Linked DNA regions of Oryctolagus cuniculus. The protein of the gene in region 3 purifies or fractionates together with the protein of the main gene of each other region. This does not show direct contact. Links are inferred from orthologs where the notes say so. Each region holds a gene or a part of one and is shown on either strand. Other genes may lie near its edges.

What was found.
Region 1: the proteins of NRP1 (region 3) and KDR purify together in Homo sapiens (affinity purification with western blotting; 7 studies listed by BioGRID and IntAct, with this or other methods). This does not show direct contact. The link is inferred for Oryctolagus cuniculus from reciprocal best matches to the Homo sapiens genes NRP1 and KDR.
Region 2: the proteins of NRP1 (region 3) and BCS1L purify together in Homo sapiens (affinity purification with mass spectrometry; 3 studies listed by BioGRID and IntAct, counting the BioPlex papers as one, with this or other methods). This does not show direct contact. The link is inferred for Oryctolagus cuniculus from reciprocal best matches to the Homo sapiens genes NRP1 and BCS1L.
Region 4: the proteins of NRP1 (region 3) and UBR2 purify together in Homo sapiens (affinity purification with mass spectrometry; 3 studies listed by BioGRID and IntAct, counting the BioPlex papers as one, with this or other methods). This does not show direct contact. The link is inferred for Oryctolagus cuniculus from reciprocal best matches to the Homo sapiens genes NRP1 and UBR2.
Region 5: the proteins of NRP1 (region 3) and PLXNA1 purify together in Homo sapiens (affinity purification with western blotting; 4 studies listed by BioGRID). This does not show direct contact. The link is inferred for Oryctolagus cuniculus from reciprocal best matches to the Homo sapiens genes NRP1 and PLXNA1.
Region 6: the proteins of NRP1 (region 3) and CSNK2A2 purify together in Homo sapiens (affinity purification with mass spectrometry; 5 studies listed by BioGRID and IntAct, counting the BioPlex papers as one, with this or other methods). This does not show direct contact. The link is inferred for Oryctolagus cuniculus from reciprocal best matches to the Homo sapiens genes NRP1 and CSNK2A2.
Region 7: the proteins of NRP1 (region 3) and FAM241A purify together in Homo sapiens (affinity purification with mass spectrometry; 3 studies listed by BioGRID and IntAct, with this or other methods). This does not show direct contact. The link is inferred for Oryctolagus cuniculus from reciprocal best matches to the Homo sapiens genes NRP1 and FAM241A.

Annotation. Positions count from the first base shown.
Region 1 is NC_091439.1:109,274,443-109,278,593, reverse strand, and holds the start of KDR (vascular endothelial growth factor receptor 2 precursor), read right to left. Parts: upstream 2,886-4,151; coding exon 2,819-2,885; intron 1-2,818. UniProt on the Homo sapiens protein: Tyrosine-protein kinase that acts as a cell-surface receptor for VEGFA, VEGFC and VEGFD. Plays an essential role in the regulation of angiogenesis, vascular development, vascular permeability, and embryonic hematopoiesis.
Region 2 is NC_091434.1:20,774,638-20,778,764, forward strand, and holds the start of BCS1L (mitochondrial chaperone BCS1), read right to left. Parts: upstream 2,892-4,127; 5' UTR 2,763-2,891; exon of another isoform or gene 1,704-2,762; intron 1,523-1,703; 5' UTR 1,474-1,522; coding exon 1,154-1,473; intron 1,070-1,153; coding exon 930-1,069; intron 728-929; coding exon 533-727; intron 360-532; coding exon 296-359; intron 72-295; coding exon 1-71. UniProt on the Homo sapiens protein: Chaperone necessary for the incorporation of Rieske iron-sulfur protein UQCRFS1 into the mitochondrial respiratory chain complex III.
Region 3 is NC_091444.1:108,709,511-108,713,150, reverse strand, and holds part of NRP1 (neuropilin-1), read right to left. Parts: intron 3,520-3,640; coding exon 3,382-3,519; intron 1,651-3,381; coding exon 1,379-1,650; intron 860-1,378; coding exon 763-859; intron 1-762. UniProt on the Homo sapiens protein: Cell-surface receptor involved in the development of the cardiovascular system, in angiogenesis, in the formation of certain neuronal circuits and in organogenesis outside the nervous system. Mediates the chemorepulsant activity of semaphorins.
Region 4 is NC_091436.1:127,374,446-127,378,692, forward strand, and holds the start of UBR2 (E3 ubiquitin-protein ligase UBR2), read right to left. Parts: upstream 2,911-4,247; 5' UTR 2,532-2,910; coding exon 2,454-2,531; intron 1-2,453. UniProt on the Homo sapiens protein: E3 ubiquitin-protein ligase which is a component of the N-end rule pathway.
Region 5 is NC_091441.1:109,964,096-109,967,735, reverse strand, and holds part of PLXNA1 (plexin-A1), read right to left. Parts: coding exon 3,529-3,640; intron 2,122-3,528; coding exon 1,939-2,121; intron 1-1,938. UniProt on the Homo sapiens protein: Coreceptor for SEMA3A, SEMA3C, SEMA3F and SEMA6D. Necessary for signaling by class 3 semaphorins and subsequent remodeling of the cytoskeleton. Plays a role in axon guidance, invasive growth and cell migration.
Region 6 is NC_091449.1:41,552,302-41,556,617, reverse strand, and holds the start of CSNK2A2 (casein kinase II subunit alpha'), read left to right. Parts: upstream 1-1,388; 5' UTR 1,389-1,534; coding exon 1,535-1,638; intron 1,639-2,392; coding exon 2,393-2,504; intron 2,505-4,316.
Region 7 is NC_091439.1:52,822,958-52,827,258, forward strand, and holds the start of FAM241A (uncharacterized protein FAM241A), read right to left. Parts: upstream 2,907-4,301; 5' UTR 2,734-2,906; coding exon 2,569-2,733; intron 1-2,568.

The DNA.
Region 1 (4,151 bases), on a different chromosome or scaffold from region 3:
AATAAAGCCCTCTGTCCCCCACTGGAGTTTGAGACCTGCCTCTGGCTCCCAGCTCCAGCACCTAGCTAACAAAGGCTCCAGAAACTGGGCTCCTGCCATTCCTGTGGCACATCTGGACTGAGTTCCTGGTTCCCAGCTTCATTCTGCCCAAGTCCAAGTGCTAGCCCAGTCCTAGCTATTGCAGGCATCTGGGGCAGGAACAAGCAGATGGAGTTGGTTCTACCTCAGATCTCTGTCTCTCTCTGTCTCTGTCTTGTCTCTCTGGCTCTTAAATATATAAACAAACAAAAAAATTCTTTTAAATAATCACTCAAGCTTTCCAATCCACACCAAGAACAAATGACTCTCCAGGCCTAAACTAGCCTTGACCTTGCTGGGCAAATAAGAGGGTATGAGCAAATCTGAGCGAGTATGAATAAAGAGAGAATAAGCAAATATCCCGTGTAAACACCCAGTGCAATGAACCTCTGCACCCTCATGTGCACAACGGCAGGCGAAACCAACAACTGACTGCGCGTGTCTCCACACACCCACACAGATGTGCAAAATCGGCTGCTGACCAACTGTACATTTGCTGATGGCTAACACAGCTTTTTCAGAAAAACACCTGGAAATTGAATGACATCAATCAGTCTCAGACAGTAGTTGGCCGACACTGGTCCGGCCTTCCTGGGTTTGGAGCCGTGCGTCTGAAACTTTAGGCTGTGTCCCCCAGATCCACAAATTCGCATGTGAACAAGCATTTCAGGTGCCTCTAGCACAGAGGGCTCGCCCTGGGACAGTGGCAGGTCTTGGCAGTCAGCCATGTTGAATTCATTCGCAGGACACTTTTCCATATGAAGACAGCATACCCACAGCAGGAGAGAAGCCTTCCCTTTGTCTGAGACAGGAAAAAATGAACACAATTCAAATAAATGGACACAGCTTTCAAGCCTGTGGGAAACCCTAGGTTGAGAAACACACTCAAGGCAGTAACTTACTACAACTCGCACACAAGTCTGAGTAGGAAGACACCTGTTAATTGGGCACATTGGTGTGAGACCAAAAAAAAAAAAAAAAAAAAAAAAAGCAGTAAAACGAGTAGGCTCTCAATAAGCTATGCTCACCCCCAGCACCAAGCTATGAACTCTTGAAAGTCTCCCAAAAGCCATTACTACAGATCCACTCACATTCTAGCTATGCAAATTAGCTATGCAAAAAAAATTTTAAGCTATGCCTTCTATTCACAGGAAGCCAAGAAAACACCAGCGTATTTGAGTCCTGTCTGCAATGAGAATCCATTCCACAAGGCTGTGCTAACATCAACTTCATCTCTGCAGGCCGGTGCTCAATTTTTTGGTTTTTCCCCACTAAGCTTCATTCATTGTCACGGGCAAGGTTGAGTTCTTACTCTTTAGGAAGGTATAAGAAAATAACTGTTAACAGGTGCACGTGCCAGCACTCAATAAAAAGCCCTTCTACGTTCAAATCCCATAACCAACGTTAATTAATTTGTGCACTGTTACCCTTCCAGCTCAAGGCCAGGGAAGCAAACCAACAGTTCTTCTGTCTCTAGAATTTGATGGCACCAATTACAGCCCAATCCAATTAAGCAAGTCACCCGCTCCCAAAGGGTAGCCGCACATTGTACAAGGGCAACCTGATCATCTAGGAGGCACCCCAGGCTTACAGGCAACCCGCTTCTTTATGGGATACAGAGCAGCCACATGTCTCAGGCTCCCGTTCCCCTCCCAGAACCGGGGTTGGGGGAAGAGTGTCCATGGTGGAGCTGACCCTGATGAGCCGAGTCATTATCAAGAAAATTCTATGAAGGCAGACAAAGGCTCTTGGGACTGCGAAGGAGTGCCAGCGACTTTGAAGGCATGGGAGCCATTGTTTCCAACCAAGTGTAAGGAACTTTTTCCTGGCTTTGTTTGACTTTTGTTCCTTTCTCTGATCCTCCTCCTTTCTCACCCTCCAGAGGGTGGAGATCTGAGAGTCAGAGGCTGGGACTGCAGTACAGAGTGCAGCGCGCTGCGCAGAGGAGGGGTGAGGAGGAAAGGGGGAGGAGTTGGGGAGAGAGAGGGGACAGCGACCACATCAAACAGATGTGTGATTCCCATCTTGAAAGAGGCAGGAGTTTAGGTGGCAAGGAGAGTGGCCAGTGACACTGGCACCAAGCCCCGCAGAGCAAGGTTTCCGAACTTGAACTTCTGTGTGCTAATCCCAAACCCTCCAGCCCTTTGAGAAATGTCAACTTGCTCTACAAGGGAAGCTGTTACTAAGAGACCCTTGGGGAAGCCGTCACCGCCCCGGGGTTCAGCTCCGAGGTCCCCTTCTTCTCTCTGCGAGGAGAGCGGCGTCCGGCACCAAAGAAAGAAATCAAGTTTCCTGCCCTCGGAGCCCAGCTCCTACAACGACTGGGAGCGCACTAGCGTTCGAGCCGCAGGGGAACCGCGCGCCAGGGCCGGCTGGAGTCCCGCAGAGGCGCAGCCGGACGCATGGTGCGCGCCGGGGCGGGAGTGGCCAGCGCAGTCCGACCGCGCCTTGCAGGCTGCCCACTGCCGCCTCCCCGGCGTCCGAAGGTGTGAGCGGCACACCCTCCAGAGAAGGCGGCGGTCCGAGAGCAGCGGCGTGGGAAAAGACCGGGGCGAGAGCTCCAGGGACCACTTGCGGCGCGCACGCGGGCCGGCGTCTCAGCCTCGGCTTCCCGGTTGATAACAGCAAGGCGCCCAGGTGCCGAGTTCCAGCCTGCGAGTTGGCTCGGGCCTCCTGGGCATCCCCATCTCTCCGCCCGCCCCGACCTCTCCACCTGGCTCCGAGGGAGTGGGCTCCTTACCCACAGAGGCGGCCCGGGTCTCCACGCAGAGCCACAGAGCGACGGCCAGCAGCGCCCTGCTCGCCATCCCGCACCTTGCGCAGGGCGCGGTGCCCTGAACTCGCGCGCCGCCTCTGGCTCCCGGCGCCTAGCCCCGCGGAGAGGGTGCCCCGAGGGGCGCGGGCCGCCTCGGAGCGCGGGACCCCGGAGCGCGCAGGGCAAGGGCACTGCGGGTGCGGGCAGGCGAGGAAATCCTGGCTGCGGGACTGGCTCAGGGCTTTCTGTGGAGCGCCCAAGGGATGGCCCGCGCGGGCGCTGGAGACGCGGCGTAGGCACTGAACCTGAGCTCGCGCGGTCCGGACACTCAGCGCTGGGTGGGAGCCGGACCCGAAACTTAGAGTGTGGGGGCGGGGCCGGGGCGGGGCGGGGCGGGGCTCCCTGTGCAGCCGGCTCCACCCCCTGCCCTGGTCCTGGGCGGGGATCCGGGGCTCCCCGCGCCTGCCCCGCCGCGCGTGGCCGGGGCGGGGAGAACGTCCCTGCGCAACAGGTCGGTTTCAGCTGCACGGAGACGCGGCGCGCAGCGGCTGTGGGCCACTCCGAGGCTCAGTCGGTGCTGGCCTCCGAGGTTGGGGAGCGTCGCCCGGAGCGCAGGAGCCACACGGCGCCCTCGCTAGGCGCGTCCGAGCTGTCGGAGCTGATCCGGAGTTCGGGAGCGAGTGGCGGGGCTCCCGCCGGTGGCCTTGGGGTTTTCTGTCCGAGTGCCCGTTCTGCCCGCTTTAGAGCCCGCAGCTGAAGTTTTAAATCCGAACTTGGATGCCTTTAAGCAGAACGCCCACTTGCGCAGTTCGCGACGGCCCGGCCATTGCATCTTTTACCCGGAGGTCTCGGGTTGCCTGCAGTTACCTGCGCAGCCCCCAGAAAGGCGTTCGCGTTGGAGATGTCTGCTTGCCTCTGCCCTAGAAACCTACAGCGGGAGTCCGGGAACGCGAGGAACCCAGTGCTCGTTCCACGGGGAAGCGCCGCTCCGGAGCGGGAGCCCCCCGCGGGCCCTGGGCCAGCTCCCTGCCCAGAGCAGAGCTTGCAGCCCGGGCGGCTCGGGCCTCCGGCGGGCTTCACCGGGGCAGCCCCGAAGCCGAGGCCAAGCCTCGAGGCTGTCCGCGCGCGCTTGGGCCTCCGTGCGCTTCTGAATACGCACCTTGCGTCTGGCGTTCTCCGCGCTTCTGCGCACACCTGGAGGGTGGCGCCAGGTGTCTCCTACCTTCGTGAAATGTGGACTTCCCAGGTGCAGGCAGGTGCTTTAAAAATGACAATGTGTGAACGTCCTTCAGCGAAAGGAGGAAGCAAAGTGACCCTT
Region 2 (4,127 bases), on a different chromosome or scaffold from region 3:
CGTCGGAGAGGCTGGGGTCCGTGAGACTCAGCAGGCAGATGCTATGCTCCAGCTCCCCAGCCAGGGCTGTGCTGTGGAAGGTGGCAGGACAGGAGCAGGTAGGCGACCCTGGAACTCCTCGTTGGGCCCAGCTGCTCTTCGCACAGCCCTGGGAGATGTGTCTCAGAGACCTAACTCTTCCACCATCCACCCTAACGCTCTCTGGCCACCAGGTTCATTTCCCTTTCCACCCTCTGGCCCAGCTGTTCCATAAAGACTTAAGTTTTGCAGAGTTAAGAGAATGTTGACTACTCACATAAAACTGCTCTTTCCACAACCAGGAGGGCCATAAAGCAGGTAGCCACGTCTGTAGGGAATGCCTAGGGATACAGCCCCAGAGGTCAGGACCTACCAGCCCTGCTGTGGGGAGAAACCTGCTTTCCCCATTCACCTCTGAGAATCAGAGCAGAGCCTCGCATCGCCCCATCTGGCAAGCGACCAGCCCCTCTCCTCCGCTAGAACCGGCCTAGCCAAGACCCCAGCCGCTTCTCACCTCTATCCGTGTACCACTGGGGGTGCTCAATGAATTCCCGGACATCTCTGACGATTCGGTCAGCCAGACCTTGTTGTAGAACCACAGAACTCAGGGGCCGGCGGCGGCGTGGATAGCCAAAGGGGCGCCATTCGGAGCCCACAGCTGTGTACATCACCGTCTTCCCTTCCTCCTGCTGCAAGGCTAGCTCTCGGGCTGAGAGTGGAGAGACCAAAGGTGGGCATTCCCTTCACGACTGCTGACCGTTCAGTCAGGTCGAGCTATGCCAAGATGGCTCCTTTCTGTGTGTGCCCTGAGCCCCTGACTCAAATCTTGTTCCCTCCAAGCTGCCTCCTCCCAATGTCACGTGTCCCTATCCCTGCAGTCCCCTGAAGAGGTCACCTGTACCATCTCACACCTTCCTCCAAGATGTTGAAGAAAACCTTGCGGTCGGTGCCCAGGGCTGTGAAGGTGACGGATTCCCAGGGAGTCCCCGTCTGCAAATCTATCATTTGCATCTCCCGACTTCTTTCTACCCGGATCCATTTCCCCTGATACCTGAAAAAGATCGGTCAGAGGCAAGGAAGGGGTCAAAGCCAGCTCCCTCGCAAGACAGAGCCCTCCAAGAGCACAAAACCTTACCAGATGAAGTGGTTCCCAGGGCTGGGGACAAATTCGAACTTGGTGGAGATGCGGCCGCTCTCGTGCTGAAGGTACGACGTCTCAACGCTGAGGTGCTGAGTTCGGGTACTGTGGCGGGTGAGCCAGCTGAGCAGCCAGGCATAGCTCCTGTCGCGAGCCGGGACTTCCAGCGTGATCATGTAGTGACGCCGGAACGCCACCAGGCCCAGCTGGGCACCCTTTCGGGCCAGGGCCAGGGCTGTGCCCACACCCACCAGCCCAAAGCCAGCCCCAAAGTAGGGATTGTCCTTCAGGGCCACGATAAAGTCTGAGAGTGGCATCTTGGGAGGGCAGCACTGAACCTTACGCGCCCTGCGGCGTTGTCAAAACCTAGAGGTGGAGAGCAGAGGACAAGAGGGGACAGAGCACAAGGTTAGCGTGGCAAGGAGAGTCCCTTCTCCCACCCACCCCCACCTCCAGCAGGAGCAGGAAGGATGGGTCCTCACCACCCGGGGGTTTCAGGTCTCTCTGTCGCTGAGATTCCAAGCCCTTTCCACTCGCCTGCCCATACCTCAGTTTCCCGCCAGAGGAACCAGCTTCACAGTAGGGTAACGAATGGGTGAAATTTTCGCGATCACAAGGACCAGCTGAGATAGAAAGGGCCCGGCTGGCAGGAGTCTTCATTGACCTGTCAGCAACCCAGTGGCCTGTGTCCACTAGCAGGAGTCCAAATACCATCTCCCTATGTGCCCAGTTCCTAATGCCCGATTTAAACCTTTATTACCTCCCACCTAACCTGCCCCTTTAAAACTGAACGAGTTCAGGGCTGGCACCTCCAGTGCCAGCATCCCATATGGGCACTGGTTCGAGTCCTGGCTGCTCCACTTCCGATCCAGCTGTCTGCTGTGGCCTGGGAAAGCAGTAAAAGATGGCCCAAATGCTTGGGCCCTGCACCAAAAGACCCAGAGGAAGCTCCTTGCTTCAGATCAGCACAGCTCCGGCCATTTATTACAGCCAATTGTGAACCAGTGGATGGAAGAGCGCTCTTTCTCTCTCTCTGCTTCTCCTTCTCTCTCTGTGTAACTCTTTCAAATAAATAAATCTTTTAAAGAAAAGTGAACGAATTCTTGAAATGGCATTTCAATGGGTCGCCACCTCCTGCATCACCCAACAGCTACACCACACAGGGGTCCAGATCTTTCGGCTCCGATTCCAGCACTCTCTCTACACCAGTACCTTCAAGGGTTGACTCCCAACGGACCTGACCCGGAAAACTCCTCAGCCTATATTCAAAGGCTATCCACAACACAGCGCCCACCTACCTTTTATGGCTTAGCGCTTAATACTGCCGATTCAACAAACGTGCAAACTCTCACAGCCTTGTTGCCCCTCGAGCGCAACTTGGCTCAGCGCTAGGCACGGATGGGTGTACTGACAGTAGTGACCTCCATGGAGGCTCAGAGCGGAAGCCATAAGCCCCAAACACCCATGCATGCGAGGCCACAGACAAAGCTCTCCCCGCTCCCGGTCCTTGCCAGACGCTCAGAAGTCCCTTCCAGAATCCCCAGCACACCTCGGCTCGCGCCTCCAGCAACGTGGTGTGGAAGAATTCTCCACTCCGCCCCCTTACCGCCATGACTCTCTGGCCCTCCGTCTCGATGGTTTCACCTCTCAGTGCCTGAGGGAAGCGCTGCTTGGCCCCGCCCCCCCGGGTTCTTTCAACCACTTCCCGCCACACCCACCAAGAAGGTCATGCCACTCTGCCCCACAACTCTCGATGGTACGCCTTGGGCTTGTGGGTTTGGAGGACGACGACGACGGGGGGGACCATAGAGTACCCCGCCGGCCGACAAATGGAAGAAAGAGTGGCCTCCATATCCCCAATGTCCTAGAGGCAGCTGGGCCGGAGGCGGTCGCACAAAGGGCGCCCCGGGAGGCCGCCTCATCCGCCGCCGACCATAGAGATGCGGCTCCCCCACCCCCCGGCCCTAGGCCGGCAGGTGAGTGAGAGGCTTGCAGGGCGGGAAGAGAGAGGGCGTGCGGGTGGAGCGAGCCGGAGGCAAAAGTTTCTGGGGTCCAGGGGTGAGCGTGGGCCTGGGCGGTGGGACCCCTCGGGAGGAGAGGCTGGGAGAAGCACGCCGAAGAGCGGCGCCCGGGCGCCTCGGCAGCGTCACGGCTCCGGACCCCGCCCGGGTAGCCGCTGCCTCGCCTTAGGACCGTAATCGACGCGGTGCTCCCTCCCAAGCCGTGCAGGTTACGAAGCGCCTTGGGCGGCCGCCGGCTGCCGTGACCCAGCTCGCGCCCGACGATGTGGACACTGTCGTCGCCTCCATTTCACAGATAGGAAAGCTGAGGCCCAGAGACGCGAGCGAGGCAGCCGGCTCTGTCCACGGGCACGCGGTGAGTCAGCGCCCAGGCAGGGGGGAACCCGGCTCCTGGCCGCTTTCTCTCTGCCTTAACTTGACCTTTCTCCTCCTCCTCAGTGCCCCTGCCCAAAGCTAAGCAGCACCTGTCTCCCACCTCACCCTGCCTGCCGGCGACGGAAGGCCGCCGCATCCTCCTCGGGCCCCCACCTGAGGCCACTCCCGTAGGGCCGGCCACGCCGGAAGGCTCCCCGGAGGAAGCGAAGGTACTCAGCAGGTGGAGCTGTGGCCGCGGCGGTGCGCTCTGCTTCCCGAATCCCCACGATCCGGGGTTTTGCGTGGAAGGATTCCGGAGGATAGCAAATACCAGGTTGTGGGCACTTGGTTTCCTTCTGTTTTTGCTTCTTCTCACCTGGTTGGCTGCTGTGACAGCTTGGCGAGGTGTTCACTGTCATTCTAACTCTGCTGATTATTCAGTTAAACTCCTTTTAGCCATCGAGACAGAATGTGCCATTTAGTTGCCATTCATTTCCCATAGGCCATAGGCAGGTGGTGAGTTTGACCTTTCTCCAGATGTGTTGCTTGCTATGCGAGGAACCACTGGTTTGATCGCTTTGGTACGAGGTAACTAG
Region 3 (3,640 bases):
ACCCTCCCAAATGACTGCCACTGCAGGGATTCTGTAGTCACTATATTGTGTAATAAAGCTTTGAGAGTTGTGGAGTGACCAGAGACCCACTATAGCCTATGGGCCCCCTTTGTCTTAGATTTGCCTGGTAGGTTTTTTCCATTTTGCTGTAATTAATATCCTCTGATGTAATGGTCTCCAGCAAAGGTTCTGTGCAGCAGACGGAGCTGCAGACTGACCACTGCCTGTAGTGAGGCTGTTTGCAATTCTGCATCAAGAGCAGGAGTGTAAAGTTACCTCGTCATGTGGGGCCGGGCCTACCAAGACCAGCTTCCACATATGAGACAAAGTCTCTGGGCCTCACTGCTTCTCTTAAGTTGTGTCAGCTCTTTTCAGAGTTGGAAACACCTACACAATTTCCATAAAGCTTACACAACTCATCAACAGTGTCATCTTATCAAGTCCCAAGGGTCGCCCTGCTATAGCCCAGGTCTGTGGAATGAGACGGGTGTCTGAGCTTCCAGCTCTGTCACTACTGCTGTGGCCAGTGCAGTGTCAGCAGCAAGCCTGTCTTCTCTGCTGGATTCCATGTTACTTACAGGTTTTCTGGGTTTCAATCAGACTTTCTGAATGAACCAGTTTAGGTGATGGGGCAGCTAAGGGTGAACTGGCTGGTTTCAGGCCCTGTTATGCCACCAGGTGTGAGTGAGTGGGTGAGAGCCATCAGCACGGAGGCTCCCGCTGGGGCACATACCCACTGGTACCCACGGCAGTCATACTCACTTGCACAGTCCTCTGGGGAGATGTGGTTGTTGATACTGATGTCATCCACCGCAATCCCACCCAGGTTTCCTTTGCCAATTTCACCCTCAAAAATCACCTGCCAGAATGAGAACATTTCACAGGGTGTAAGTGGCCGCCCTGATTGCAGCCTGAGCCAGGGCACAGACGTGCAGTCCAGCCCGAATGCCAGCACTCGGCCCAGCAGTCCGTGCTGGCTGCCGGCGATGGCACAGAATTCAAACTTATGGAAGGGGTGTGGGGAGGGCATTGGTCCCAGCGGTTAAGTTGCCCACATCCTCCACTGGACGTTAATGCCCACCCCAGGAGGCAGCAGGTGAGTGGGGGTCCCTGCCACACATGTGGGAGACCTGGATGGAGTTCTGGCTTAGCATCTGTGCTTCTCAAATAAATCAACTTTAAAAAGAAAAATCCAGGGAACAGGCAGCAAATGGAAGGAGTGCTACATGGTGGTGGCCGACTGTTGGCAAGAGGCAGCTTCTCTCCCAGCACATGGGGCTGGGCTCCAGGGAGGACGTCTTCGGGGCAGACGTCGCTGTAGGAGCCCTTGCGTCTCCTCACCCCAGCCCTGAGTCCCCAGCCCAGGACATGGCCACACCTGGTAAAGCTTCAGGGACTTGTGCAGCAGCACACGGCCCTCCTTCCAGTGGTCTCCTTGGTGCCCGATGGCCATCCAGACCAGCTGATCGTACTCCTCAGGCTTCTGGTAGCGCAGCTTGACCCTCAGTGTGCCCACGTGGGAGCCGGACATGTGGTACCAGAAGGTCATGCAGTGGGCGCTGCTCTGCGAGGACACCACGGGGCTCACCAGCCGGGCCACCTTGCCCTTCTGGTTCTCATCAGCCTGGGAGTAGATGAAGTTGCCGTCTCCTGTAGCAACAAACACAGAGGGGTGAGGGAGGTGGCTGGGGTATGCGCTGTTGTCTCTCTGCTCAGCAGAGGGAAGAAGGGTGCCCGAGGCCATCCTGTGAACATCTGGGAATGGGTGTGTGGCAGGGAAGCTGGGGGCAGCATGGATTCCCACAGGTCTTACAGGAATGCACCATCCTGGGCTTCCTCACCGAGGGTAGGCAGAAGCCAGCTGGCACCCACAGCAAACAGAACTTGTCTGATTCCTTGAAAACCTGTTTCTGGGGCAGGTGTTTGGTGCCATGGTTAAGCTGCTGCTTGGGAATCCCACATCCATATCAGAGCCTGGGTTCGAGTCCTGGCTCTTCTTCTGATCCAGCTTCCTGCTGATGTGCACCTGGGAGGCAGCAGGTGATGGCTCAAGTAGTTGGGTCCCTGCCACCCAGTGTGGGACCCTAAATGGAGCTCTTGTCTCCTGGCTTTGGCCTGGCCTATTGGATGGAAGATCTGTCCGTCACTCTTTCAGATAAATAAATCTTTTAAATTAAAACAATGGATAGCAGGATCTTTTACCCAGACTGTATTAAAACAACCCAGTGCCTGCTTTGCAACGTTCCACCCAGTAGCCTTACAAAAATATGCCCGGCACTGACTGACATTAGCCCCGTGGGCTCACCTCCTGCTGGCCAGGGACAGCTGCCCTGCAGTGGGCAGGGCAAGCTCTCAGCTGCCCCCTTTCTGAGGCTTTCCCGCTCTGGTCTGGGCTGGAAACACTTGTCACTAGCACTCTCCCTCTGCCAGCTTTTGAGCTTCAGAGTCCTAACCTCTGAGTGTCAGGACTGACGGACCATTAGGCCCCACTTTGCATCAATTTTCCCACCATTACTGCCTTCATCTGGGCTAATTGCATTTAGTTAATTTGATGCCATTTACAGTCAAAGTATTTTAAGTTTTCTAAAACTGCTTGTCTTAAGATTCAATGGGAAGTGTGTCAGAACTGAGGAGCCCAATTTTATCCAATTTCCCTGTCACTCTCATTAGGCAAGAAGGCAGCCCCTTCAGTCTCCTTAAGGGAGGAGGGAGTGAAGACAAGGAGAGTGATGTGAGGGTCCTGCCCAGCCACGGGCCACAGACGCTCTCACGCAGGGCACGGCAGGGACGAGCTCGAGTGAGGTCTGGCAGGACGGGCTGGGGCCAGCCAAGGAGAATGGGGTGGGCTGGATAGGGCAGCTCACTGTAGCCGCCGCCAGCCCTGCCCCCACTGCCTCTTACAGGGAGACAGAGCGGGGGCTGGCTGAGGTCTACACCCTCAGCCTCCCCCATGAGGAAGCCCCGGGCTCTCTTACTGTCTGTAGCTGTCAAATAAGTGAGGGGGCACGGAAGATGCCTGGACTTGGTGGGGAATACTCTAGACTCGGGGTGAGAGGGACACAGCCTCGCCTTGTGCTTTGGGGCTGTTTCGGTTGGTCACTCACCCAGCTCATGGTGCCCTTTGCCTCTGCTTTTGAGTATGTCTGGAACTGTCCGTGATCAGAACCCCAGGGCAAGTGTGAAGTGAGCAGACTGATGCAGCCTGGCCCTGGCGCCGTCCTCCTGGGTGGGAAGTCGGCCTCCTGACCTTGTGCCCTCCTCGAGGCGGAGGGCCCGTTTCCAGAACACAGAGGCACGACTGGGCGTGCACGGCATTTCCTAGCCCACGAGAGCAAGGCCCTGGAGCACCCCTCCCGCCGGCAGGAGCCCTTGGCCACGCACCTGTGTGGTCCTGGATGGGCCCGGTCTTGCTGGTCAGCACACTCCACCGGAGCTGCACGTGGCTGTCGTGCTCCCAGCGACAGAAGGTCTTGTGTGAGCCCCAGCCGAACTCGCAGTTGAATCCGTATGTGGGGAACTCTGCAGCAGGCGGGGAGGGAGACAGATTCATCATTTCAGGCTGGGAGGCCTTCGCCGTCCATGGCACACATGGTTTGCCCAGCTGCACGTCTGGGAAAGCCACAGGCCCAGGAAACCAAGA
Region 4 (4,247 bases), on a different chromosome or scaffold from region 3:
ACCTCTCTCTCTGTCTAAAACTCTACCTCGCAAATAAATAAATAAAATCTTAAAAAAAATCCTAACCACCCATGGGTATATAATACAATCAATATGTGATATTAAATGTAATTAAAGTCAAGCAGTATTGGGAAAGTCACATGGTAGAATCAATTCCCAGGGGTAGAGCGTCTGAGGGCTGCAACGACTGCGTTCTCTACTTGTTCACCTTCCCCAAAATTCCCTTTCTTTTTTATGTGTTTTTTTTTTTTTTTAAGATTTATTTTATTTATTTGAAAGAGAGAATTACAGAGAGAGGTAGAGACAGAGAGAGGTCTTCCATCCGCTGGTTCACTCCCCAGATGGCTGCAATGGCCAGAGCTGCACCGATCTGAAGCCAGGAGCTTCTTCCAGGTCTCCCAAGTAGGTGTAGGGGCCCAAAGACTTGGACCATCTTCTTACTGCTGTCCCAAGCCATAGCAGAGAGTTGGATTGGAAGTGGAGCAGCTGGGACTAGAACAGACGCCCATATGGGATGCTGGCGCTTCAGGCCAGAGCATTAACCCACAGTGCTACAGCGCCGGCCCCACAAAATTCACTTTCAATCTGGCAACTTTATTAACTGATCTTAATTTCTGATAAAGGACTGTTCTAGAGGCTAAACCAGAACAACAGTTTGAAGTGTTTGGTGTTGTAAGTAAACACATATGGAATTTAAGTACAGACCCCTCACATATTAAGGCCATCTTTACGTTATACATACTAGTTTGCATCTTTTTTAGTTGAGGAAGTGTTGTTGGCCTTCAGACTGAACTTTTCAGAAATCTAACTGTTCAGAAGCCATTTAAAAGTGAACAGAGTTAAATAAAATTAGCTCAGACTGTGATGTTCAGCTCAAATGAAGCCAAACTGAGGTTTTGCTGCATTCCTCTTGACCTTCTTTCCCTGCTGTATCTTGCTTGAGGATTTCACTGAGCAAGGGCTAGAAGCTTGGCCTCCAGACTGGTTTTATAACTGATTTCCTCAGGAGAAGCTCTAATTTCCAGGAGAAGCTCTAATCACTTTAGCTTGCACTTCAATAGGAATAATGGAGTATGTAGCCTGTATCACTGGGCTAACAGACACAAAATTTAGCTGGGGCAGGGGGACCAAACCTACCTTGAGATTTAAGGTAAATAACCATGTATCAATAGAAGAGGCATAAATAGTGCCTAGCTGTCATTATTATTTCACTGTTCCCTACTTTCATTTTCTCTTATAAATCAAAGGCAGATGGGAGTTGACAATTCTTCAGTTGTGCAATGTTAAGTAAAAGTAAATGAAAACAGACTTAGACTAAACAAGTCAGTTTAAAAAACCCAAGAAAGACTCCTCATTCCACAATTTATCTCCTTAAACTTTTCACCTCTACTCTTGTCATTTATTTCCATCTGAACTTTAGTGCTCAGCAATTCACTCAAAGTAACTTCTTGCCCTGCCAGCAGTGTCTACCCCAAACTGTGCCCTAATCTTCAGACTGCTGACTTCATGGCTGCTAGGAGTTTTTTATACTGGAGGCCTTAGAGGTGGGGCCCAAGTTGTTTTGGTCCATTCATAATCATTCGGGACAACCTGTTCTAATGGGTGTTCCTTGTACTTACAGGGGGAAGATGCCTTCTTGCTTATTAATCATTTTATAACTCTGCTACTTATTCTCGTTCATTCATACTACAGTTTTTGTACAATACTGAGCTTACATGGTTTAACTTTGGGACACTACTGCTGCTACCAGCCCCGCGCTCACATTATTAGTTTGTATTTGTTGACAAAAGCTGCTCTCTCAAAGTTATATAACGTTTGTTCTCCATCCAACTCCCTCCAACTCCCAGGAAAATTATTTCACCTCCAGCTCGGTAAACTGTCAAGACACGACTTTGCACACATATGCATCAACGCCGGCCACGAACCAAACCGGGGCAACTGAAAAGTGAAAAAGGCACTGGTGGGGGTAGTGAGGGGACGGTGCTGGCTGCTTCCTTGGTGCCGGCGCCGCGGCAGAAACAAGGGGTACGGTGAGGGTGGCATGCATGTCGGTGGCGGAGGCACTGCTCTGCTGATCCCGGGAACAGGAAGCTGGACGATCACACTACAAACACTCCGAGGCGTCCCCTTCTCTCCCGTCTTTCACGAGCCGACATGCAATGACCCATGTGTTGGGGACTTGGAGGAACGTGAGGGGATGGAGGTAGAGTGGAGGAGCTGCGACCTCGCCTGGGCAGAGGGGAAGCACAAAGGCTGCTAGTGCACTGCACAGCCCTGAGGGCTACTAAAGCAAGACCGGCGCCCTTCCCGGGCTAGTAGCCCACAAGACGGGGCCGGCGCAGTTGTCACCCCTCGTCAGTGCGGGCCGCTCCCGGATTCCCAGGAATCGTTCCTCCCCGCCCCAGGGGCGGCCTGCGCCGGCTGGACATTCCCGCCCGGGTCCGGGCACTCACCCCCGCGATCTCCTCGGCGGAACATTCCAGCAAACTGCGGTCGATGGCCTGCACCTCGGGCTCCAGCTCCGACGCCATCTTCTCTCCTCCTCCTCCTTCTCCTCCTCCCCCCCAGCGCTACCGCCGCCCTGAGGGCCGCAGCCTTGCCTCAGCCCCGTCAGCCGCGACTGCCACCTCTGCCTCAAGCGGTCAGACCCGGAGCCGTCCAGGCGGCCGCAGGTGGAGCAGGAGACAGCGAAGGGTGACGAGAACCAGACAGGTGGGACGGCGGCCTCCTGCGCTGCCTTCCGGGCTCAGCGCCCAGGAGTCAAGTCACTGCCTCGTCCCTGACCCTGGAAAGGACACAGAAAACCCCAGGCCTGGCACCCGCGCTGGCCACCGCGGCGTCCCGCACCGGGAAGGGGGCAATAACACCCAGGAGGGAAAGCAGAGCACTCTGGGTACTGTAGTCGCCCCTCACAGTCAGGAGGGTGGTGGCACTTATAGGGCACTCCGCTAGGGCACTATGGGAGTTGTAGTCCATCTTCCGAAGGGAGCCTGGGTGAGTGGCAGACAAGGGAGCGGGGCTTTTCTGCGCGATTAGAATCATGGGAAGTGACTAGCGAAAAGACGCACCCTCCAGAGAGAGGCAGAAGGGTAAGATCTTGTGGAAACTGTAGTCTGAGGCACAGAGTCTCGTTTGTTCGTTGGTGGATCTGCAGCTCCGAGAACACTGCGTGGCATGTGGTAGTTTTCAAATACTTGTCAAAGTCTGGCTTACGGCGGGCTCTCAAATGTTTATCACAAAAATGAATGAATTAGTTATATTCCTGTAGTTATATGGCTCTGTCATCCATCATCCCTTCATCCCTTATGCTAGTACCTCAGGTGAAAATTACCCTAGTGTTTGAACATTTTCATACTTGTTTTAAAGTTTTCAAGCAATTCAGTTATGACCACGTATTAGAATTTATTGCAAATCTAGATAAAGGAGCCTGTCAAGCGAATTCCAAGTTTTGCTCTTAGGAAGCCCATTTTATAGGAGTAGATAATGATTGTTAGATTTGGTACAAAATAAAATTATGTTTGGTTAAAGGTTGGCTTGATTGACAGTTGGGTGACTGGGCGTTCAGCCTCTTCAGAGTTTATCAGAAAAGTGCTTACGCATTTTATCAGGTATGCTAATTTATTCTCAGAAGTAGGGTGAGCATTACATCCAGGAAAAAAAAAAAAAAGTCCCAGACCAAGTTTGGTACATGTTGTGGTTGTTGTTGTTTTTAAAGACTTATTTATTTATTTATTTATTTATTTATTTATTTTTGTTTATTTGAAAGACAGTTACAGAGAGAGCAGAGAAAGAGAGAGGTTTTCCCTCTGTTGGTTCACTCCCCAGATGGCTGCAATGGCCAGGGCTGTGCCGATTTGAAGCCAGGAGCCAGGAGCTTCTTCTAGGTCTCCCATGTGGGTGCAAGGGCCCAAGCATTTGGGGCATCTTCTACTCCTTTCCCAGAGATGCATTAGCATGGAACTGGATGAGAAGTGGAGCAGCTGTGACTTGAACCAGCACCCATATGGGATGCTGGCACTGCAGATGGCTTTACCCGTTATGCCACAGCACTGGCCCCTGCTCCACTCTTTAATTTGAGTTAACTTGGAGGAAAGCTGAGATTGTCACATCTAGAAGCTAAGCATATTTTTTGAGGGAATGTCCTAGCATGGAATTTAAGCCATTAAAATAGATTGTAAAGGAATTTTCACTTTTAGCATTATTATTTTCTTCCTCCCATTGCTTTTGGGTTGATATTAATGTTCTTT
Region 5 (3,640 bases), on a different chromosome or scaffold from region 3:
GGACCTGGGCGGCAGGGACCGGGACTTGAGCCTCGGAAAGCACCAGGCTTTGTGGGGAAGGGGCCCACCAGGGTCACGCAGCCTGAACCAGCAACGCCGGGCTCTCGGGGGAGCTCACACTTGACCTCCCCAGCTGGACTCCCCAGCAGCTGCCCAAACAAGTCAGCAAGAGGCCTGCAGTGGCAGAGGACAGACCCTCCCCAGCTGCCCGGCCACGGCCCTCCTCGGGCCTGGAGGGGGAAGGGGGCAGAGTGGGGGAGGGAAGCATGGAGGGACCTCTTCATGACCAACACACGATTCCTTGTTCTGGCCTCAGTTTCCCTCCTGTGGGCCTGGGGTGGGGAGGCAGCAGAACAACGGCGAGCAGGGATTTAGGGAACCCCCGCGTCCTGGGGCTCCTCCAGCCGAAGCTGCCAGGCAAAGGTGTGCCCGGGCACAGGAGCACAGGGGAGTCAGGACCGGAGGAACCTGTCCTCCCAGCCTCACCGGGAGCCTGCGGGCGGCACCGGGCCTGTCTGCCCCCCTCCCCCGCCAGCCCACCCACCATCAAAGGGGACGCTCCCAGTGCTGGGAGCCGAGTGGAGGTGCCCGTGGGAACATCTCCAAGCTGACAGCACCCCAGCTTCTACCCCAGGCACCAGGCACCAGGCACCAGGCACCAACACGCACGGCGGGGGAGCCACAGGCCCCTGGGCGGCTCCGCAGCCTGTGTGTGTGTGTGTGTCTCTTGTGTGCCAAGCGGGCGTGCCCACTGGACAGCGGGGAAAGGCCCTCACGCCACAGACACGGGACCCGGCTGAGGGCACCGGACAGTGCTGAGCCCACCAGGGTGACCCCAGCCCCTGGCCGCTCAGCCCAGATCACAGACATCTGGGTTCATTTCACAGACTGGAAGACTAGGTGTGGGGGTGGGGGGTTCAATTCCCAGAGAGCGGCGGACCTGACTCCCGGGGCGACCTCCACGGCAGAGGCGGAGCGGCCAGGAGGCCCTGGCTGGCGGCAGGCCCGGCCCCACCCACGGGTGCACGCCGAGCTGCGTCAGCGCCAGCCTCAGCGGCTGTTATTTCATCCCCGGGCCCGCCCTGCTCGCTGAGCCCTGCTGCGCCCAGCACCCCCGCCCTTCCGTCCCCCTGCGGAGCCTCCTCTAGCGGCTGGGCCTGCCCTAAAGCCGAGTCCCCACCAGGTACCACACGCCAGGGGGCCCGGGCGGCTCCCCTCTGCCCACGCTCTCCAGGAAGCCTTCCTGGCCCAGCCCTCGGCCCAGCTCAGCACAGGCATGCCGCTCTGGGAGAGAACTCAAGGAGACACACAAGCCACCCCAGTCCCCTCGCCTTGAGGGGCCCTGAGCAGGGCCTTTGGTCCCTCCAGTGCCTGGTTACGTCACTCCCCTGGCAGCGGCCCGGGGCAGGGTGGGGGCAGGTGCATACCCTTACCCTGCCCTTGGCCTTGCCGCCTCGCGCAGGCATAGGCTCCTGCAGGGCAGTGCTGCCTCAGCAGACACCGGATCCGCCAGGGCTCGGGAGCTGGGGCCCGAGGGGAGGGGGCTGCACGGCCCGCCCTGCCCCCACCCCCACTCAGCCTCCCTGGAGCTCACGGAGCACTCTGGAGGCCTCAGCATCCCCGACCCCAGGCTGCTGCACAGGCAGGCTACAGGGCCCTGAAGGGTTCTCGCTCATGGGACGGAGGCCTGCCCAAGCCTCCCTCGGTCTCAGGGCCCTGCACGTGGCACACGGCATAGGACACCTCCCAGGGAGGCTTGGCTCCTGCAAGACCCTGGTGAGCCGAGCCCCTGGAGGTCCCTGGGCCCAGCCTCTGGCACTGGCCAGACCTCGCGCCCTCCCCAGACTCTGGCTTCCCAGGTCACAGAGCGAGGCTGCCCCTCCACCTGGGGAGCCCCACCCACCCCCACGACGCACCGCAAGCCCGCCCGGGCCTGACCTTGCGGATGCGGCCGCTACGAGTCCCGGCAAACACCACGGTGCGGCCGCGGTAGTCGTAGGCAGCCACGGCAGTCAGGCCGTCCTCCTTGTCCACGAACAGGGGTGTGCCCTCGATGGTGACCGTGCCCCCCAGCGGCTGGTTGAAGTCCTGCCCGCAGAAGTCGTCATCAATCTGCAGGGGCTGGGAGCGGACACAGGGTGAGCGTCACAACTACACCGCAAACACCTCCCCCAGGACCGGGGCCTCCCAACGCACCAGGCCAACTCCACCAGCTGGCGGAGAGGCAAGCACGCAGCCGCAGCCACAGCCAGCGCAGTTCAGCGGAACACGGATTCCTGGGCCCACGTGACACACGGAGAAACCAAGGCTCAGGCAAGCAGCCCCAGGCCGGGGCCCGTCTCTTCTGCTCCCACCCACCCAATCTGGCCCTCTGTGGAACACAGCTTGGGGAGCGATCGGCCCCCAAACCATGGGACCTGGGGGGACGATGGGAGGAGGAGCCAGGCCCACTGCACTAGGGACCCTGACACCCACAGTGACAATCGGACAGGAAGGAACAGCCTCGAGTCGGGGTAGGCTGTGAGCTCGCTCCTCGCCCCACAGAGGCTGGCTCAGAGAAGGGACGGCTGCAGCCACGGAGGGCCCAGGCCCGGCCTTGGGGGGCTCACTTTGGATCCTGAGCAAGGCCCGCGCCCCCTCGGAGCCTGGGGTCTTCCTTGGGAAGACAGTGGTTCCTGCTGCCCGGGAGGGTAGAAGAGACCCTCCCCCCGCAGTGGCTGGTACCAGACCCACCCTTGGGCGGCACCTGGAGACAGGGGGCGGGTGGCTGTGGCTGTGGCTCGGCAGCCCCAGTGTTGGGGCCGCCGTCTGTGAAGGGCACAGACCACAGCCTGCACACGCCTGTCAGCGACTCTCAGTGCTACAAGGGCGGCGGAGCCCAAGGAAACCCGAGGAAGGAACCAGTGCGACAGAGATGGTGTCTGGGGCCTGCCCAATAGGGTCTGGTCCCAGGTCTGCACCTACTGGCTGGTGACCCTAGGCAAGCCCCCCACCTCTCTATGTTGTAGACTAGAGACAAGCCAGAATGGGTGGGCCGGTGGCGCAGCGAGTTTAGCTCTGCCTGCAATGCCGGCATCCCCCGTGAGTCCCCACTGCTCATTCAGACCCAGCTCCCTGCTAACACGCACGGGAAAGCAGCAGAAGATGGCCCCAGCGCTTGGGCCCCTGCACCCACGTGGGAGACCTGGATGAAGCTGCTGGCTCCTGGCTGTGGCCTGGCACAGCCCGGGCTGTTGCAGCCTTTTGGGGAGTGAACCAGCAGATGGACAATATCTCTCTTTCTGCTTCTCTCTCTCTCTCTGCAATGCTGCCTTTCAAATAAATAAATCTTTACCAAAACAAAACAAAACAAAACAAAACAAAACACAACAACAAAAACTAAAAAGGCTGAAGCGACAGGCACCCAGCCGAGCCTGCTTTGAGGGAGGCAGAGGAGGAGCCGCCCCGTGTCGCGGAGCCATGGCAGGAGCAGGGCCTGGCACACGACAGGTGCGCCCGGGCGCGCGGCCCGCGGCCGGCGAGGCTCACCGAGTTGATGCAGCCCAGCTCCTTGTTGAGCAGCCAGGGTAGCGAGAGCTTGCCCTCGCCGCGGTAGCACGACTGGATGCGCTCCTTGATCTTCTCCTTGATGGCTCGGAGC
Region 6 (4,316 bases), on a different chromosome or scaffold from region 3:
TGCATTCCAGGGGCCCAGTGACTTGGGGGCCACCTTCTGCTGCTTTCCCAGGCTCATTAGCAAGGAACTGGATTGGAAGTGGAGTAGCTGGGACTCAAACTGGTGCCCAAACGAGAAGCCAGTGTTACAGGTGGTGGCTTAACCTTCCACACTGCAATGCTTGCCCTGGGTCTTTTTTTCTTAAAGATTTAGTTTATCTGAAAGGCAGAGTCACAGACAGGAGGAGATGGAGGGAAGGAGGGGGAGAGAGAGAGAGAGAGAGAGAGAGAGAGAGAGAGAGAGGCAGCCAGGACCCCAACCAGAGTTCATGCGGGATGCCCAGGCGGCAGGGTAATCTACAATGCTGAACTCCATCAAGGGCCTTATCCAGGAAGCAGCATGAAAAAGGATGGGAGTCAGAGCTGGCTGGCTGGGTGAGGGGCCGCTAAGAGTGGGGCAGAAGGGGGAGCCAGCCACAAGGAAGACCCAGAAGATGCAGGAGAGAAGAGAGTTCAGGGCTAGAAGGCACAAAACAGGCCAGACTGGCCACCCCAGCTTAACCAAGTGACCGAAGTGGACGTTCAGAGAAGGCTCTGGAAGAGAACGTGGGGGACGGTGTAGGAGAGGGGTTTTGTGGGGAAGACTTGGGATGAAGGAGCATGGGGTCTCAGGACAAGGAGTCTGCGAGTGACAGAGCAGGGTCCACAGCGGGGAAAAGGGATTAAAACACACACACACACACACACACACACACACACACACACACACACGAGGGGAGGGGACATCTTGAGGTGGGGGAGGTTCTGCGGTTGAAGAGTGCGTCACTGGGGAAGAGCGGTTGGGTAACAGGGCTATCAAGACCGGGTACTGCGGGAGGTCTTGGGGTGGGTAAGGTCTGGATGACCAGAGGTGACGGTCTTGGGGTGGGCGTCTCGGGGTCAGTCCTCAAGGGCTCAAGGGCAGCCGACGGCAGGCGGGGTGGCCCTGCGGGAGAGACCCGGCCAGCCCCAGGATGCGGAGAGCCCGACCGGCGCGCCGGGGCGGGGGGCGGGGCCGGCACCGCCCCGCGGGTCCCCCCACGCTGCAGGGGGCGCTGTGAGCCTGGGCGGCCCCGGGCTGGGCGGCGGCCGCTCCTAGTGAGCGCGGCCCCTTTTCCGGGTTTCCTCCGCCTCCTCCTCCTCCTCCTCCTTCTTCGCCGCTGCCCCTTTCCCGGCCGGTGGCTGCCGCTGCCGGTGCCGTCGCCGCCGCCGTCGCCGCAGCCGCCGCCGCCGCCTGGGGGCCGCGAGCCGAGCGGAGGCCGCCGCGGAGCGCGAGCGCCGCCCGCCCCGCCGCCCCGCCGGCTGCTCCAGGGCCGGGCCGGCTCGGCCGGCGCCCCCCGCGCCCCCAGCCCGCCCGCCCCCGCGGGCCCGGCCTGGCGCGGCCGCCCGCCGCCGCGCTCCTCCTCCTCCTCCGGCGCCCCGCGGCCCGCCGCCTCCTTCGCCCGCCGCCCCGCGCCCCCCGCCGCGCCGCCGCCGCCGCCCTCTGCGCCCCGCGGCGCCCCCCGGTCCCGCCCGCCATGCCCGGCCCGGCCGCGGGCAGCAGGGCCCGGGTCTACGCCGAAGTGAACAGCCTGAGGAGCCGCGATTACTGGGACTACGAGGCTCACGTCCCGAGCTGGGGGTAAAGCCGCCGCCGCCGCCGCCCCCCGCCGGGGCCTCTCACCCCCACCCCCGCCGGGCCGCCCCCCGGCGCAAACCGCACTCGGCCCCCGCGATCTGCCTCCCGCAGGCCGCTCGCCGGGGCAGGGCTGGGCTGGGCGGCAGAGGCCCCCACCTCGCACATGTCCTCCTCTTCCTCTTCCCTCACCCGCGGCCGTTCCTCCCCCGCCCCCAGCTTTGTGCACCCCTCTTGCCCCTTCCCTCCGGCGGGGGGGGGGGGGGACCAGGGCCTAGCGCGGAAGGGAGGCAGCAGCCGCCCCTCAGGCTGGGGGTTTCTCTCGGGGTGGGGAGTCAACAGCTGTCTTCTATGAAAATGCGCTGCTTTTTTAGTTTTCTGACACGAGGCGGGGTGGGGGGGATTTTTTCGAAAGATGTGCAGATTCTCAGAGCTGGCGCTGGCTACCTTCGGGGTGTGAAATAGGGGGCAGGTGCTGTGGAACCGCGGGCAGGGCGGAGTGCTCCCAGGGTCTGCGAGATGGATGATGGACTCAGAGCGTCTACCCCCAAGTTACAAGGGACCAGTTAGGTTGGGAGCCCTGCAGAGCAGCAGGAGCCTGGTGTGTGTTGTAGCTTTCATATAGGGACTGAGTTGCAGCATGGATTATAGACACTTCCAAGCGCTTGGTTCGTGGAAGTGGCCGGCCGGGGCGTATCGTGGGCATAGGCTCGGCGGACCCCAAGGCCCAGCATTTATGTGTGTCTTTTGCCTCTCACAGTAATCAAGATGATTACCAGCTGGTTCGAAAACTTGGTCGGGGAAAGTATAGCGAAGTATTTGAGGCCATTAACATCACCAACAATGAGAGAGTGGTTGTAAAAATTCTGAAGGTGAGTCTCCTATAAGTGGTTTGTAACTTTTTCCCCCACAGGCCAAAAGGACGTGAGTTACCCGAGCCTCGTTTCTAGAACGAGCTGTGCCGGCTCTTGCGTTATGTCTCTTCTGTCCAGGACGCCCGGATCCCACCCCGTTTTCCTTGGACTTAAGAAAACACGCAGACCGGCCTTAAATCTAAGCAGAACGGATCAGGAACACCCTTGTTCTAAAATGTAAATTAGAGGTTCCCAAAGCAAAAATCCCAAAAGGGCCCCATTTGTTACAAAATAAATAAATATTCAGAGGGAAGAAAAGCCTTTTCATGGAGATTCCATGGATCCGAGGGCTCTTTGAGCGCTGTGTTTGTTAGTCCACAAAGAAAGTTGGAGAAAATTGGAGCCAAGGGGAAGGAAACTCCTCGGGGTGATAACCACTTGTTTCTCCTCTGACAGTGAAGTTTCAGGTGGGACAGCTGAGGGGCGCAGGGAGTGCTGGGAGCCCTGGAGCTGCTTATCAGCTAGTAAAACTGGAGTTAGAAGGCACTTTTAATCACTCAAGCTGTTGGAACAAAACTGTCTGATGTCTGCTTTCGCAATCTTAAGTTTGATGATAGGCCTTCTGTTATCTCTTGAGTGAAGACGTAATGAGCCTGAAGAGTTGGCTTCAGGTAACTGTGTGGCTTTAATAATGTTTTACTGGGTGTCCTGCAAAGTTGTTCTTAGAAGCTGTCATGGGTCTTCATTATCGCCAGATCCCTGAACGTGTGTTTGGAGAGGGTCTGTGGCGGGGGCTGTGGGGCTCAGAAGCTGCCTGTGCATGTCAGGCTGTGCGGGGAGGCCCTGTCCTCTCAGGCCGGGCTCAGGCTTTCTGGGAGCCGCCTCTCAGAACCGTGCCCAGCAGCCTCGCTCAGTGCTGTCCTAGCCGGTGATGGAGGAGCAGGATTCTGGTAGAGAGAAAGCGGCAGAGGCCGCTGTGCCGTCAGACGCTGGGCACATGAAGTGAGGGACGGGTGTTAGGGATTTGCAGACTGGCGCCCCCTCCCCTGAATATGAGCCACCAGTGAAGTCCCAGGGCCTCCCCCCACCCCAACAAGCATAAATATGTGAAGAAATGGTGTTCCTTCAAGGCAGTCACCTGGGGAGGCCATGTAATTCCTCTGTGTACATAAGCAAAATGCTTTACTGCAGGCTGCTTTGACTTGAAGCAGAGCTGAAGTTGGAATTAGAAATAGCCGTATTCCCCAGCTGTCTGTCTGGAAGAATGAGTGCTGACTCTGAGGCAGTTCCAGAAAAATGTCTAAACTTTGGTGCAACAGCAGCATTGTTAGAGTAAGTGCCATTTCCTGTGTCCTCTTTGAACGGCGCAGCGTTCAGGTGTGTGTGTGAATGCCTGTCTGTCCAGGAGAGCATCGCGTTGCTCCTGGGTCATCCTTGCACAGCACTTCCTGGTGACTAGAGAGTTTTTCCTGTTCTCTGAAGCGTGCTGGGATGTTTTAGGGAACTCAATATGAAGACTGCCACAGGTGGTTTTTACAAAGGAGAGGCCCAGGCACAAAGAAACTCAGCCAGCTCACCACCAGCACTGCTGCTCCCTGCTTTTCCCTCTCAGCTTTCTTCGGCGCTGGATTGCGGGATCTTCATGTTGCGCCCAGAGTAAGTTCCAGTGTTCTGGAATGAGCTCCGCAGGCCCCTCTGGTGTCCAGTTGATGAAGCGTTTCTTGTTGCTTCTTTTCACGGTGCGGCGTGAACCACCTTGCTTCCAGGGCTGAACACTACACTCCTTCTGTATGCTTTCCAAAGCCCTGCAGCGTTTCTGTCCAGATGTTG
Region 7 (4,301 bases), on a different chromosome or scaffold from region 3:
CTATCAATAAAACACATATTAATATTAGTATTTTAGTATTACATGAATTAAATACCAGAGTACGGATGTATTTTTATCTGGTTTTATAATTTCAGTGAGCCAAAGATAGATTTTGTATAATCAAAGCTTATGCAAAAGACCAGGCTAAGGAAAGGGAATTAGGAATAGGAAAGAAAATAGGAACAGAAAGAAAATTCAGCAAAAGGATGTATAGGGAGGAGCCCTTGGCCTGGAAATAGCCCAAGGAAAAATTCTGCTCTATTAAATTATCAAGAAAGTGCAAAAGTCTGTAAAGGAAATAGAAGTAGAAAGGGGTTTAACACAAATTCGGTGCTGACAAAATCATTTAAAGAACTGGAGCAGCAGAAGGCAAGTGCCTCTGGAGTGACTGTTCAAGACCACATCACCACAGCCCTGATCCAGGTAAGAGCGAGCCTCTGATAGCTGCTGCCTTCAATTTCAGCTTAACATCCGTGAGGCCACTGGAAGACTCTGGAATTCCAGGCAGCATGCTAAACAGAAAGGACAGCAGGAAGACAGTCTGTACCTCATTTCCAGCTAATTAGTTTTGGTTCTGTTGCTGATCTATCATTTTTTCTAAAGAAACAATCACTGTAAGTTCTAAATCACTAGCTCAAGAACCAATTTTTCAAAAATACTCAGTTTGTAATTTGGAGCCCTTGTCCTTGAAACAACCAACAAAACAAACAAAATGAACTACCAAAAAATTCCCCCCAAAGAAAAACTAACTGAAACAACTCCTTGGAATCTGTTTTATAGTTGCGAATTTCATTTACCACTGCCTCAAATATCTGTACATCTCAAGTTATTTCCACCATTGTCAATGGCAGTGCAAAAATTTTAAATTTCATTCACAGGACCACCAAAAAGCTAGAAAGCAGTACTTCATGATAATATTGCAAAGAAATGATATATCTAAAAAGCAATATTTTTGCTTGTTTTTGGCTTCTTGATAAGAAGTTCTTCTTTGGTGCTGATGCATTAAGCAATGCATATCTCAGGTGTGATTGTCAATGACTGTATGTAGGTTTACAGTACATAAATAAACCACAAGGTATAAACCAAAATTATAAAAATAACTCTTCTAATGGAGCCCAAGAAAAGGAATTTCCACGACATGCAATGACGGAAGCAGGTATGCAAAAGTTTAGTCCATTTTCTAGGAAACATGGTTCACTCTTTTGTTTCATCCTTTTTCTTGTGTACCGTGAGCAACTTTGGTAAGACCAGAACTACTGATGAAGTCCCCATCATCATAACGATGCTCCCTTACAACCATTTGAAAATTTACTGTGGCAACTTGGGCACAAATGCATCCCCTGCCCTCAAGGGAGTTCCCGTGGCAGTTTTCTTCTCTTTTCCAGTTGAGCAACTAAACTAAAGTAAGAGGAAACCGAGCCCTTTAGTTATTGAGTCACGGTACAGTTAGCGGGAAAACCACCAGGAAGGGAATCCGGAAGATCTCTGTTACCAATGATTTGCTTCAGTCACCATCTCTTATACTGTCACACATATATTTTCAAAAAACACACTCCACATGGCCATCACACCTAATGCTAAGGAAGCTCTACTTTGTGTACCCAACACAGCAATTTCTGCTTCCTAAGTAACACTGCGATAATAGAAGTTATGCTTTATCTATTAAGGCGTTTAGTGATGATACTGGAGTCTGTGAAACGTGACAAAAAGGACAGATGGAGAAGGACCAGAAGAGACGGGTATTATTGTCTTAACAATATAGGCTGTAGGAAAGGCCAACAACCATTTGAATTCCCGTCTCTTCGCGTGATCCTAAAGATGACTTATCTCGAGTATTTTTGGAGATCTAATTACAGTCTTTGCTGGTGAAAATCCATTCTCTGTGTAGCTCAGTTTTTAAAATAAGCTGCCCACTGTCACACTAGATTTCATGAGATCAAACTCGGAGAGTTAAAAAACAAAACAAAAACCAATTCCCTTTTCCCCTACTGGGGCTGGCCCCTTAAACTTCTTTCCCTTTGGTGCTAACAGAAAGCAATTTCTTGCTTTCTCACTGTGTAAATGAAGCTCAGGTGTCATCTGGGTTCCGGCGAAGCGCCTGCTCGGGGACAGCCCCCGTCGGGCCGTGTGCTGTTGGGCCAGCTGCAGCGCACGCGGCACAGCGCGGCCGCCCGCGGGAGAAACACCCGCACCTTAGGGCCCCGCGAGGCGTGCGTCCCCACCGCAAGATGGAGGGCGGGACCGGAGCAGAGGGCCCACTCGCAGCTCGGGGGAGCGGACACCAAGTCGAAAAAGAAGTGTTTGCGCGAGAGGCTTTGAAAGCAGCCGCCGTACGGAGGGCATTTCCGCAACCCGGCGCCAGCCCGGACCCCTCGGTCCGACGGCGGCGACCCCCGACCCCGCCCGGCCGCGCCGTCCAACCGCTCCTCCCGATGGCCGCCCGAATGCCGAGGCCACCAGCGCCCCACGCGGGGCAGAGTCGAGAGGCGGCCCGGCCACTTCCCTCCGTCGCCGGGTGGGGCTCCTGACCCGGCCCGGCAGCGCCGTCGCCGCCCCTCCCCGCCTCACCTGCTCGCTCTCCGCCTGCGGCCGCCGCCCGAGCCGCCGCGGGCTCGCCCCGGGCTCCCGCTGGGTCCCCGCTGCCGCCGCCGCCCGCTCCGCCAGGGCGTCCCCGTCCTCGTCACGCTCCCCGCCGCCGCCGCCGCCCCGCAGCAGCTCCCCGGCCGAGCACATCCCGCCGTCTACTCCTGCCGTCCCGGGGGCCACGCCGCGACGCCGCCCGCAGCGGCCGTCACCCCGGGATCCGCGGCGCAGGCGGCTGACAGGAGCCTCCGAAACGCGCCCGGCCGGCCTGCGCGTCTGAAGTACAGAACCAGCCCGGCCCCTCCTGTCACCGGCTCGCCCCGCCCGCGGCCGCCGGGGCGGAGCCTGCGGTGGGCGGGGCCAAGGTGGGGGCGGAGCCCACGGGGGCGTGTGGGGCGGAGGAGAGAGAAAGTCTGCAGCGTGCGTGCACAGAACAGATATCTGATGGAGATTGTGGACGGTGAGAGAGGCTGTGCGTGTGTGTGTGTGTGTGTGTGTGAGTGAGAGAGAGAGACTATACATAATACATGGGTAGTGTGTGTGAGCTCCTGTGTGCGTGAGACACCTAGAGACAAGTGTGAGAGCTAAAGCTACACTTGTGAGACTGTGTGTATGTGAGACTGCGTTTGTGAGTTAGGAAGAAGGGTGTGTGGGTGTGTGTGAAAGAAGCAGGAGAAACACGTGCACGAGCACACACACACGCACACACACTCCACTGCTCTCTCCGGCCACTGTCTCTGTGCTTGCCTGGCCTTGGAATGTGCCAGTTTGCTGCTGGCTGCCTGTCTGGAAGCGGCCCATCATTTGCCAGGAATACACAGTTCTTTTTTTTGGAACCTAGGAATCATGTGGTGGTGTATCTGCCTTTGTGTGTGTGTGTGTGTGTGTGTGTGTATTGTTTATTTGACAGGTAGTGTTATAGACAGTGAGACAGACAGAGAGAAAGGTCTTCCTTCCACTGGTTCACCCCCCAAATGGCCGCCATGGCCGGAGCTGCGCTGATCCCAAAGCCAGGAGCCAGGTGCTTCCTCCTGGTCTCCCATGCGGGTGCAGGGCCCAAGCACTTGGGCCATCCTCCACTGCCCTCCCAGGCCACAGCAGAGAGCTGGACTGGAAGAGGAGCAACCGGGACTAGAACTGGAGCCCATATGGGATGCTGGCGCCGCAGGCGGAGGATTAACCAAGTGAGCCATGGCGCCAGCCCTGTATATTTCTATAAATGAGCAAAAACGTGTCTCAGTAGGGGATAGGGGAGGAATATCCAGTTAATGACTTTTTCTTACTACTCTGTCCATTTTGTTAAAGGGAAATTGAGGGATGCTTAAATAAAAGGCCAGATTTTTCTGTCTCTCCTACCTGCATATAGAAAAAATGATGATTTATTCTACAGATAAAATATTGGGGTGTCAATGGTATGAAAAAGAATGAGTTATTTGAGGTTTCCATTAAAGTGTGTTCAGGCCCAGAGGAGGAATTAAAATATGCTGGAATTCCTAGGCTTAATGTAAAGAACTGTTTCCTGGGTTTGATCAGGAGCAGCTCAGTGTCCTGTACGCACACAAGCTCTCGTGTGCACATGATTTGTGTGGTACGCATGCAAGCTCTCATATGCAAACTCTCAAGTCTGTTAAGTACATGTCTTGCTCTCACACACACTCTCTCTAGGGACTAGAAAATATGCTTTTTGTTCTCAAGTTAGACAGGCAATTAGTTGGATT